Pelodiscus sinensis: one gene and its partners. The protein of the gene in region 1 purifies or fractionates together with the protein of each later gene. This does not show direct contact. Links are inferred from orthologs where the notes say so. Each region holds a gene or a part of one and is shown in the gene's direction. Other genes may lie near its edges. The genes, in order: KLHL22, NIPSNAP2 and EMC1.

Evidence for each region.
Region 2: the proteins of KLHL22 (region 1) and NIPSNAP2 purify together in Homo sapiens (co-immunoprecipitation; 3 studies listed by BioGRID and IntAct, counting the BioPlex papers as one, with this or other methods). This does not show direct contact. The link is inferred for Pelodiscus sinensis from reciprocal best matches to the Homo sapiens genes KLHL22 and NIPSNAP2.
Region 3: the proteins of KLHL22 (region 1) and EMC1 purify together in Homo sapiens (co-immunoprecipitation; 3 studies listed by BioGRID and IntAct, with this or other methods). This does not show direct contact. The link is inferred for Pelodiscus sinensis from reciprocal best matches to the Homo sapiens genes KLHL22 and EMC1.

Annotation. Positions count from the first base shown.
Region 1 is NC_134725.1:6,513,090-6,516,834, reverse strand, and holds the start of KLHL22 (kelch-like protein 22), read left to right. Parts: upstream 1-936; 5' UTR 937-1,075; intron 1,076-1,438; exon of another isoform or gene 1,439-1,462; intron 1,463-1,836; 5' UTR 1,837-1,889; coding exon 1,890-2,116; intron 2,117-3,468; exon of another isoform or gene 3,469-3,595; intron 3,596-3,745. UniProt on the Homo sapiens protein: Substrate-specific adapter of a BCR (BTB-CUL3-RBX1) E3 ubiquitin ligase complex required for chromosome alignment and localization of PLK1 at kinetochores.
Region 2 is NC_134731.1:20,287,318-20,291,062, reverse strand, and holds the start of NIPSNAP2 (protein NipSnap homolog 2), read left to right. Parts: upstream 1-940; 5' UTR 941-1,007; coding exon 1,008-1,105; intron 1,106-3,745. UniProt on the Homo sapiens protein: Protein involved in mitophagy by facilitating recruitment of the autophagy machinery required for clearance of damaged mitochondria.
Region 3 is NC_134733.1:7,467,875-7,471,619, reverse strand, and holds the start of EMC1 (ER membrane protein complex subunit 1), read left to right. Parts: upstream 1-1,549; 5' UTR 1,550-1,620; coding exon 1,621-1,709; intron 1,710-3,745. Other genes in the region: MRTO4 (mRNA turnover protein 4 homolog), read right to left, coding at 367-425, 1,270-1,297. UniProt on the Homo sapiens protein: Part of the endoplasmic reticulum membrane protein complex (EMC) that enables the energy-independent insertion into endoplasmic reticulum membranes of newly synthesized membrane proteins.

The DNA of each region.
Region 1 (3,745 bases):
GCGCCAAGTACACGCCCGGGCTCACGGCTCCGTGAAGAAGCCGCCAACTGATGTCTCCGATGGGCCGCGGGATTAAGGTAGAATACACACTGGCCCATCGGGATCCCCCACCCTCAACGGATCTTAGATAGTCCTGCCACTTGGTATCGGGGCGGGACACGAGGGTGGGGAAATGCAGAGTGTGCAGCACGAATGTGTACAGCTGTTCCCTAGGCGCGGTCCGAAAACAGACCGGCTACAGATTTTGCAGCCGGCTGGGAGTCCAGGGGTGGAGATGCTGGGGGGGGGGGGGGGGCGCGGAACAGGGGCCCAATAAAAGGGGCGGAGGCTTTGCAGGAGGGACGGGGCATACCCTCTCGCAGGGACCGCTGCAGAAGGTTGAGAGCGGGCCGCCACAAAGCCGCCTCCACCTCCTGGAGTATGCGCAGGGGGGGTTCAGAGGGTGGAAAGCCCCATGCACCGAGCGAGCACTCAGGGCTCCACCCCGTCCCCCCTGTCGTAGTCCAGGAGGTCTCTGACCATGGTGGTTTCTGCCAGGCTCAGTCTCCGGCGCACCGTGGGAGACCCCACACCTGCACGCACAAGGCGGGATTGTGGAGCAGGGGCTCCGTGAGGAGGTCTGCTCCCTGGGCGGCCACAACGGACCAGGTGGCCGGCCAGCGCTTCCAGGTCGGGAGGCGTTCCTGGTAGAATTCCGGGGGCTCGGAGCGGCCTCGCGGGTGGATAAAGGGAGCTGCCGGCATACGGGGCGCTGCGGAGGGAGGCGCTCCAAGGCGCTCCCTGCCGGACCATGCACCGGGTCCCCGCAGGGCCTGGGGGCGGAAGGGCTGGACCCGGCTGTGCACAGACCAGGCCCTGGCCCCTCCTGCAGGGGGCGCCGCACCCGCCCCACACGCGTTCGAAAGACACGACACGCGCCAGGGGGGCGGGTCCCTTTAAGTGGGGGGGGGGGAGCGCGCGCTCCGTTCGGTCACGTGGGAAGGGCGCTCTGGCCCGACTCGATGGTGCGGGCGAACCCGGAAGCGGGCGGCGGGCGCTGGGGCAGGCGGAGGCTCGGGGTCGCCGCTGCCGGCAGGTGAGCGCAGCGCTGCGGGGGGAGGGGCGCCCCCCCCCCCCCGGGATAACGGCGCCCCGCCCCCCCAGTGCTGGCCCCGCGAGTGACTGACAGGCCCGGTGCCGCCCCCCCCCGCGGCGGGAGAGCGGCCGGCCCCGCTGGGGGGGGGGGCTGCAGGGGAGGAGCCGCTTCCCGCCGGTTCTGCCCCCCCCCCCCCCCCGCTTTACACGCGCCCCCGCGGCCGCAGGCGGGTTCGGGCCCCGCGTTAAAGGGGCGAGTCAGCGGGCTCCTTGCGGAACAACCAAAAAGAAAGAAAGTCAGGCCGGGCCCCCAGCGCGCCGCCGGGCATGGCCGGGTTAGGCTCCCACAGCAGGCACCAGGAGGCGTCTGGCCGCGCCTGAGGCTGTGGTGAGACGCGGCTCGCTCCCTCAGCCGCCTGCAGGGGAAAGAAACGGCAGGAGGCAGGTCTGGGAGGGTGGCAGCAGCGCCAGTTACATCCGCGTGCATGTGGCTCCTCTCCAGCAGCCACGAGATGGTACCTCCAGGGGAAAGTGCGTATGGTAATGTGAGAACTGCTCCCGGTTTCTATTTAAACCTCTTCTCAAGGGGTGTGAAAAACTAACAGAGGCCGTGCTCCCCAGGGCCTCTCAAAGCAGTCATGGAATAGGTTTGCAAACGGCGTGGTACCGCCACTGAGCGGACCCGCTTGTTCAGTGCGGTAAGAGTTAAAATGCTGCGAGGGAATCAGCACACGCAAACTTTGGCTATTTCTGTGGTCTCAGAACTCATCTTGCTGTAACTGGTGGCTGTGAGGTTCTGAACATTTCTACTGGTGATGGCAGAAGATCAGGAGCTGACTCAGACATGCAAGACTCCCTGGGAGACCTCCCTCCAGCAATGCAGCAGCCACACGTACCGCAGTGCACAGCATTCCCAGTCCTTACTCAGCGGCTTGGTCTCCCTCCGAGATAGTGGCATCCTGTTTGATGTAGTCCTGGTAGTGGAAGGGAAACCCATTGAAGCTCATCGGATACTTCTGGCTGCATCGTGTGACTATTTCAGGTATGTGCCATGTCACTGGTTAATCTTTAACCAGCATCTTTCTCCATGACTCAAACCTTCTGAATCCTGGCTGGACTTCTGTCTTTTCGCCCTTGGGACTCCCCATGCTTCCCCAAGTCTGGAGTAAGGTCACACTGGTCCAAAACACACACTCCCAGATTTCAGCTCTGATCACATCTAGAGCAAATCGGTTTCTTTGTACTCAAAGAGTAAAACAACGCCTAGTTGTTCAGTCCATAAAGCCTGACATAACAGCCATTATCATTCCAAACAGGGATTGCATGGGTCTTCCTTAGGGACCCCGTCCACTCAGCTGTGGGTAGGTTGCAATTGAACGATGTAAGTCACTCCTTTCTCCTCCTAGCAGCTCAGAGTATGCCTACGCTGCATAATATAACTGTGTCTGGGCACCTCTGCCTGTGAGGCTGTGTTTGTCCATCTTGCTGATACGCGTATGCGCTGTAGTGTTATGCATGCCCATGCCTTGTCTATACCATCCGTGCATTGACAAATTTCACATCTCTGGAAGCTGGGGTTGCTTGAGGTGAGTAGGGGCTTGGGAATTAGAAAAACCAGCACACACAGGCCCCAGAAATTGTGGGACAGCTTTGATGGACTGTCTCAGCATGAACCTAGCTACGCAAACTCTTAGCTCTGTCTTCAACACAAAGTGGGAGGGTAGAAATATGGTACAGTGAGACAAGCTTATACCTGTATCCCTGGATGAGCCACCAAGCGCACGTGCTGAGAACATACAGGCACGTGCCTGAGGACTTTGTGGATGGGAGGCGGGATTGGTCTTCAACGTGTCAAAGTCTGTCAGACCTGCAATGTAGACACTTAATGGGCTTGTTCACCTCTGAACTCAGTGCATTCACTTCCCTATCACTCCAGCCCTCTCTGGATGAGAACGCAAGGGCATCTGAATCAATAAGTCCTTTGTAGCTTTAACGGCGAGGAGTCCTGTGGCACCTTATAGACTAAATGAAGTGCTGGAGAATAAGCTTTCATGGGCAAAGACCCACTTCGTCAGATGCAGGTAGTGGAAATTTCGTCTTTGCCCACAAAAGCTTATGCTCCAACACTTCAGTTAGTCTATAAAGTGCCACAGGACTCCTCGCCGCTTTTGCAGATTCAGACTAACACGGCGACCCCTCTTATACTTGTAGCATTAAAGCACTGTCACCAGGCTAGCACACTTCCACATATGTTTTAAACTTCTTTAAAACAAGGGCTTATAACATGAGCCCTAACATCTTTTAAAGACAACGACCCCGTTGTGGGATGCAGAAGTCTATATTGCTTTTATTCATTTTAATTCATTTAATGAGGGAGATTTTTATGCTTTCCAGGGTGCCCAGTGATGTATGAGGAAGCCATTTATAGGTTAAACTAATGCAAGGATGCACAAGGAGAATAGGTGTACAGCTGGTTATCCAAAGCTTGACTGCCTTCTGGATCTTCAGAACTAGCTGGCTGGTGTGTCTTCACTGCATTCTGAAAAGGCTCTGCTCTGGGTTTCCAGTTTGAAAACTGTACTGCCTGGCATAATTCCTGGAGAACTGGATTTGGCAACAGACATGGAGGCTTTGCAAAGCTGTCTGTCCAGTTGTCTGTCTGACTCTTTTG
Region 2 (3,745 bases), on another chromosome or scaffold:
CATCTTATACAGATGTCTTAACTTCACACTGAAGATATATTCCAATTCTGGTTCTCTTCTCCAGGAGGAAAAAAAAGAAATTGTCATTGACTACCAAGTCAAACCAATATTGTTTTGATCACTGAAAATGACAGTGAGTTTTGCCAGTTACTTCAGTATATTACTAGAACAAGTTTGTATGTTAATATCTGCACCTACAGGGTTTCCAACAGGAGCACACCAGGGAAAAAAAAGCATTCTAATTTCCAGTAAGTTGTTGGAGTGGTAACAAGTTACAGATAGATGTACACATATTTCATGTTCAGAGTTCTCACACATTCCATGAAAGGAACAACAGTGTAAAGAGCAGCCAACAATTACACTGTAAGCTTTCATAGTACACACAGTTGTGTTTTTTGTCTTACAGACTAGAGACCATGGTAACTAATGATAGCATGTAAAACCTTAGGCCCTGTGATTACAAACACATAAGCAGTTGAGCATAGGCAAAGTATTGCCCTTATTTTACAGAGGAGAAAACTAGCAAAGAAAGGTGAAAGGGCTTGCCAAGGCTGGCAGCTAGTAGTGGCAGAGCTGAGGGCAGCCCTGGGTCTCTATGCAGGTAAATATTTCTTCCCTGACACGTTGATGAGGACACAGAATTATTACCCTGTGAGGGGGAGAGAAAGAGACACACACTGGTAGCTTTATCCCCAAGAGAGGAAGACAGGCAGTGGCATCAGCCTCCAGGGACTTGCAGTGGGTGGGTTAAAATAGGTTTTAAGAGATGTGCAGGTGCAAATGGGGCTCCCCTCCGCCGCCTGACGGCGCAGGTGCCTGGCTCGTGGGATGTGGGCTGGACCCGCAGGCACGCGGGGGCCGAGCCCGGCAGCCAAGGGGTTAAGAGTCGGGTGGGAGGGGGCTGCTCCCCCTCGCAGTGCCAGGCCCCCTGGTGGCCGCCGGCGGGTACTGCAGGCTCGTCTCCTTCGCCCAGGCCGGGGCGCGCTGGACTGAGAGGCCGGAGCAAGATGGCGACCCGAGTGCTGCTGCGGCGGAGCCTGGGGGGAGCCGGCGGGCTGGGCAGGGCCGGGCCTCGCCTCCCGGCCCGCGGCGGCCTGGCCCTCAGGTGAGCGCGGCAGCCCCGGGGCCCGGCCCTCGCGGGCTGTAAGTGGAGCCGCGGGGGCGGGGGCGGGAAAGTCTCAGCCCCGAGTAAGCGCCCCTCGCCCGGGGTCTCCCTCAAGGTCATGGGCCTCGCCGCGCCCCCAGGGGCCGCCCGCGGGCAGCCCCCCCGCATTGTCCTCGTACCCCGCCCGCACTGGGGGCTCCCCCCGCAGCCTGCGTTCGACCCCCTGCAGCGCAGGCCTCCCGCCATCTGCGCCAGGGCCCCGCTGCCCCAACGCCCCCGGGGGACCCGCCCCGCTGAGCCCGGCTGGAATGGACCCGTGCAGCCTGGGTTATGTTGTACGTGCCCCAGCTTTCATGTGTGTTTAGAACAGGAATCAAAGCCTGTCGGCTGGATTGCAGTGACTGCTCCGTTCAGCATTTTCTCTTTCCGGGGAAACGCCATCAGGGCAGCTAGTTAGGATTTGTCCTAACATTGAATCTAGGTTGTGGACTAAAAGAAAACTTGGTGGATGGTAATATGTCCCTGTGTCTTGAATCCCATTTAAATCAATATTTTCAGCTGCCTGCTGTAGCACTGAGGTAGTATATGAGAACAGAAAGGTGAAATTGATTAGAAACTGATTAGTCTTTTATTATTTTTTAATATAAGGGTAATGCCAGAAGCAAAACAGTGAAAACTAAACTTTGCTTTTTAAAAATTTCAATTTTCCTTTCAGTAACAGGGTACCAATGATGCTTCCAAAATAAGGAAATGTGTTTTGTTGAATTGTTTTAAAGTAATAGTGTCCCATTGAAATCTTGGGCATCAATGATCTTTCTTTCTTTCTTTCTTTCTTTCTTTCTTTCTTTCTTTCTTTCTTTCTTTCTCTACAAGAGTCACTAACAGTTTGAAATATGTACACACATTGGCTGATCACTTTTTCTCTTTACAACCCAGTCTGGATGTACAATTGTATATAGAACAATTGTTTACGTAGCAGATGCAGTTGTAGGTCTAGTTCCTGCCAACACACACATGCGTTTCTCTAAGTACTCTAAATTTGTGGGATTGGGACCATAACCAGTAAAGTCAGGCTGTGCCTTAAAGAAAAGGATTGAAAATGATTCCGTGATAGGTTGCCTGTAATGCTGTGAGAAACATGGCTCCCAGAAAACCAAAAATATTATGCTGTTGGAAACCCCATATACCTATCCTTTATCTATGATGTAACATTTTCTTACCCTGTGTTACAATTTAGTTTTTACAATTTAGATACATTCCCAAACAGTAAGGGTCAGGCTGGAAATAAGGTATAAATGTTTTACCATTAGAGTAACAACTGGAACAATTTACTAAGGGTCATGGTGGATTCTTTATCACTGACAATTCTTAGATAGCAGCGAGGAGTCCTGTGGCACCTTAGAGACTAACTGAAGTGTAGGAGCATAAGCTTTTGTTGGCAAAGATCCACGAAAGCTTATGCTCCTACACTTCAGTTAGTCTCTAAGGTGCCACAGGACTCCTCGCCGCTTTTGCAGATTCAGACTAACACGGCTACCCCTCTAATTCTTAGATAAAAATTTGATGTTTTTCTACAAGAAATCTAGGAATTATTTTGAGAGAGTTCTGTGGCCTCTGTTATACAGGATCTCAGATTAGATCATCACAGTGGTCTTTTCTGGTCTTGGAATCTAAGAGTCTGTTAGTCCAGTGGTTCCCAATTGCCAGTCCGTAGACCAGTGGTTCCCAATTGCTGGTCCATGGACCAGCACAGGTGCCGGAGCAGCCATGGTGGCTGAGGCGGAACTGGAGGAGCCTCCCTTCCTCCTTCTTCCTCCCCCCTCCCTGCTTGGGGGGGAAGAGGGGGTACAAAGGAGGAGGGAGCATGTGCACAACCAGCGGCCGCTTCCCCTGCCTGCGCAGCTGCTTTTGCCAACTTTTGCTGGGGCTCAGGAGGCAGAACAGAGGGTGTCCCCCAACACCTTTGGTAATGGCAGCCGGCCAGAGCTCTGCACCCCCCTCCCCCCATTCTACCCATGGGGGCGCAAGGTGCACTTGGGGAGGGAGAGGGCGTGAAGGAGGAGGGAGAGCATGCACTGGCAACGGCCGCTCTCCCTGCCTACGCAGCAGTAATAGCAATGCTCGATAGGTGGGCATGGGGGCAAAGATCAAAGGGGTGTTGGGTGAGGGCATGGTGGTGTTACAAGGCAAGAGGGTATTGGCATGGGTTGTAGGGGTCAGAGGTTAAGGGATTAAAGGGTGTTAAGCACTGGGGAGCAAGGGGCTGGGTTGGAGATCAGTGGACAGGTAATATTTTATTTGCATATTCATTATTTGCATAATGAAAAAAGTTTGTGAATGGGTTTGCTGGTCTGCAGCATAAAAAAGGTTGGGAACCACTGTGTTAGACTGGAGTATTCTTCCAAATGAGATGTATAAAGCACTTAAGTTCTACTGTAGGGAATGTTTCTGAACTAATAAAAAGATTAGAGTAGAATAAAATGTTGCGAATGCTCCTTAGCAAGTGTATAGTAACACTTTATTAATCCATGTTCTTAAAGTTCTTTGAAGTTCTTGGATTAAAAGTATCATGCAATTGCAAAGTATTATTAAGGTCACCATTTCATTAAGAAATTAAGAGAAAACTATCTCCTTCTTTTA
Region 3 (3,745 bases), on another chromosome or scaffold:
CCTGGTAGAAGCCAATACACGAATAGACTGAGAAACTTCTATAATGTAATTGGTCAATTTTATGACCCTCCTGGCACTCAGCTTAAATTGTGAGGTAGTTTTGTTATATGCAGTATAACTTTTAAAAAAGAATCAGATTAATAATGAATTTATCTGGCAACAGTGGACCATTCTCAAACTTTCTTTTCTGTTGCTGGAGTCTAGTCAAATTGCCTCTGTGTGCATCAGTTTCCTCACATCCGTAAAGCATACTGTGAGACTTAGTCTGTGTAAAATACATTAAGATCCTCACAGGAAGAGATTCTATAGATTCAATACAGAATGGAAAACTAAGCTCAGTACCTTAAGATATATGCTCTTACTTACCTCTTCTATTAAGCTCTGTTTGACTTCTAAGCCTTTCTTTGGGGTTTTTGTTAGGGAAACTAAAAGGAAGAAGAGGAGTTGCTGTTATCTGTAGGTCAGGCACCCTTTAGGGAAAGTACAGATAAAAAGCACAGAAGCGTGGCTGCCAAATACAATACGGACATCAACTTTAATTAACTCAGGAGACTTCTGATTTACTCTTAGAACACCGTGTGCAACCCTCTAGCCCTGCACAGTGTAGGATCAGGGTTATGTTTAGTTCTTGCAACCCTGCTCTACAAACCAGTGATACGCAACAGAGTGTCCCCACATATTTGCAACACTCTTGGTAGGAGATAAGAAACTAGGGATGTGAAAGGTTAACCAGTAACCATCACCCTTAATGGATGATACTTACTGGTTCCGGTTATTGTGTAGGGACTGGAGTAGCTCCCCAACTGCCACAGGCAGGGGGATGCTCCAGCCCCATGAGGCCCACTGCAGCCTTTGCAGCGGGCTCACATGCTCTGAAGGCAGGGGTGCCTCTCCATCCCAGCCAGGTTGGAGCACAGCCCCCCCCCCCCCGCCCTCCTCCCCACCTGCTGCCCCCTTAATTGATTAACTGGGATTTTACATCCCTCTAAGAAACTCGTAACTAGAAGGGAAACCGCTTTAGAGGCTGCTGGAGTGGTTCTCTAATTGCCAGGCCAATCAACCCAGCCTCGCCTGCCTGACCTCCCCCCCCCGCATGAACCATCAGACCCACACCCACCGAACAACCCCCTCAGCGGGACAGGGACGGTGGCACCGAGACGCGAGCGGCCCAGGCCGCCCCCAGAGCCCCCCCGCCTGAGCAGGGCAAGGCCCCCATCCAGGAGGGGGCGGCGCTGGCGGGACCCCTGGCGGGGAAGGGGGGTCACTCACTCTTCTTGTCCCGCTTGGATTTAGGCATGGCTCGCACGTTGCTGAGCGCCGCGAGGACCCCCCTGCGCCGCGAGGGCTGCCGGGATAGGAAGCCCCCGGAGGTGCCCGAGGAGGTGCCTGACCAGAGCTGCCTTCGCGGGATGGTCCCTCCCGCTGCAGCCGGCCCAGCGCGGGCCTTTCCGAGAAGAAGCCTCTCCCCGCGCGCCTCCCCCGCCCCCTCCACTCGAGGGACTCTCTTTCCCCTCCACGCAGGCTCCGAGAAGGGCAGCCCGCAGTAGACGAGGCCCCGCCCCGCTGCGGCTCGGCGGAGCGGGCGCGCTGCCTGTCGGGATAGGGCTTCCGGCTCGGACCATGACGGCCGCTGCCTGGCCCTGGCTGCTGCTGCTGCTGGCCCCGCTGGCGGCCGCCGTCTATGAGGATCAAGTGGGCAAGTTCGACTGGTGGGTGCTGGGGCCACATCCGGGTATTTCCCCCCCCCCCATCAGCAGCGCCGGACCCTGTTCACTGGCTCCGTCCACCCCCATCAGCCGGGGGGGGGGGGCTGACATCGCTCCAAGCCCTGGATACTGACGTGTGCACCCCCCCCCCCAGCTCTGGGTGGGCTGCCCCGCTCCTCCCTCCCCCCGCTGTTCCGAGGCTGTGCCCGGGCCTCTCCTGCCCCCCCCCCCCCGAAGCGAAGGAGGAGCCCGAGCCTGGCCCCGCGAGGCTGTCACGGGCGCTGGTGTCTGCGGGGGGGAGATGCCCTCTGGGGTGCAGATTTGCTGCACGCGCATTGCCCGGCCGGCCGTGGGGGGGGGACCCCCAGCCATTGAAACATCTGTAGGGGGCCGGCCGTTGGGGGGGGAGCCCCAGCCATCGAAACATCTGTAGGGGGCTGGCCGTGGGGGGGGGAGCCCCAGCCATTGAAACATCTGTAGGGGGCCGGCCGTGGGGGGGGGAGCCCCAGCTATTGAAACATCTGTAGGGGGCTGGCCGTGGGGGGGGGAGCCCCAGCCATTGAAACATCTGTAGGGGGCTGGCCGTGGGGGGGGGGAGCCCCAGCCATTGAAACATCTGTAGGGGGCTGGCCGTGGGGGGGGGAGCCCCAGCCATTGAAACATCTGTAGGGGGCTGGCCGTGGGGGGGGGGAGCCCCAGCCATTGAAACATCTGTAGGGGGCTGGCCGTGGGGGGGGAGCCCCAGCCATTGAAACATCTGTAAGGGGCCGGCCGTGGGGGGGGGGGAGCCCCAGCCATTGAAATATCTGTAGGGGGCCGGTCGTGGGGGGGGGAGCCCCAGCCATTGAAACATCTGTAGGGGGCCGGCCGTGGGGGGGTGGTGGAGCCCCAGCCATTGAAACATCTGTAGGGGGCCGGCCGTGGGGGGGGGGAGCCCCAGCCATCGAAACATCTGTAGGGGGTTGGCCGTGGGGGGGGGGAGCCCCAGCCATTGAAACATCTGTAGGGGGCCGGCCGTGGGGGGGGGGAGCCCCAGCTATGGAAACATCTGTAGGGGGCCGGCCGTGGGGGGGGGGAGCCCCAGCTATTGAAACATCTGTTGGGGGCTGGTCCGGAAAAGTGCTTTATGGACCAGCTATTTGCCCTACTGCTGCCTCGGATTGACAGCCCTGTGCCCTGCAAAACCGCTCCCTGCCTGCCTTTCGCTGAGGGAGTCTGCTTTCCGTCTCACTGGGGAGGGGGAAAACGACCTTGGAACAACAGCGGCTTTCAACCTAGAGACGTAGGAATGTACCAATTGCCGTATGCTTTGAAAGTATTTAATGAAAATGCAAGAATGAGACTGGTTATACTGCAATGCAACCGTTCATTTTTTTCATTTATTATTAATTAATATACAGGCAGTCCCCGGGTTACGTACAAGATAGGGACTGTAGGTTTGTTCTTAAGTTGAATCTGTATGTAAGTCGGAACTGGCATCCAGATTCAGCCGCTGCTGAAACTGACCAGCGGCTGACTACAGGAAGCCCGAGGCAGAGTTGCTCTACCCCGGGCTTCCTGGAATCAGCCGCTGATCAGTTTCAACAGGCTGAATCTGGACGCCAGTTCTTACATACAGATTCAACTTAAGAACCGCAGGCGTCCCCAAGTCAGCTGCTGCTGAAACTGATCAGCGGCTGATTCCAGGAAGCCCGGGGCAGAGCAACTCTGCCTCGGGCTTCCTGTAGTCAGCGCTGGTCAGTTTCAGCAGCGGCTGACTTGGGGACGCCCGGGGCAGAGCAGCTTGGGTGCTGCTGGGTTGCTCCAGTAGCGCCGCTCCTCGGTGCTACTGGACAAACCCAGCAGCACCCAAGCTGCTCTGTCCCAGGCGTCCTGATTCAGCCGCTGCTGAAACTGACCAGCAGTGGCTGAATCAGGACGCCTAGGGCAGAGCAGCTGGGGTGCTGCCGGGTTGGTCCAGTAGCGCCCAGAGCGGCGCTACTGGACCAACCAGCAGCGCCCCAGCTGCTGTACCACAGGCGTCCGGAGCAAAGCCACGG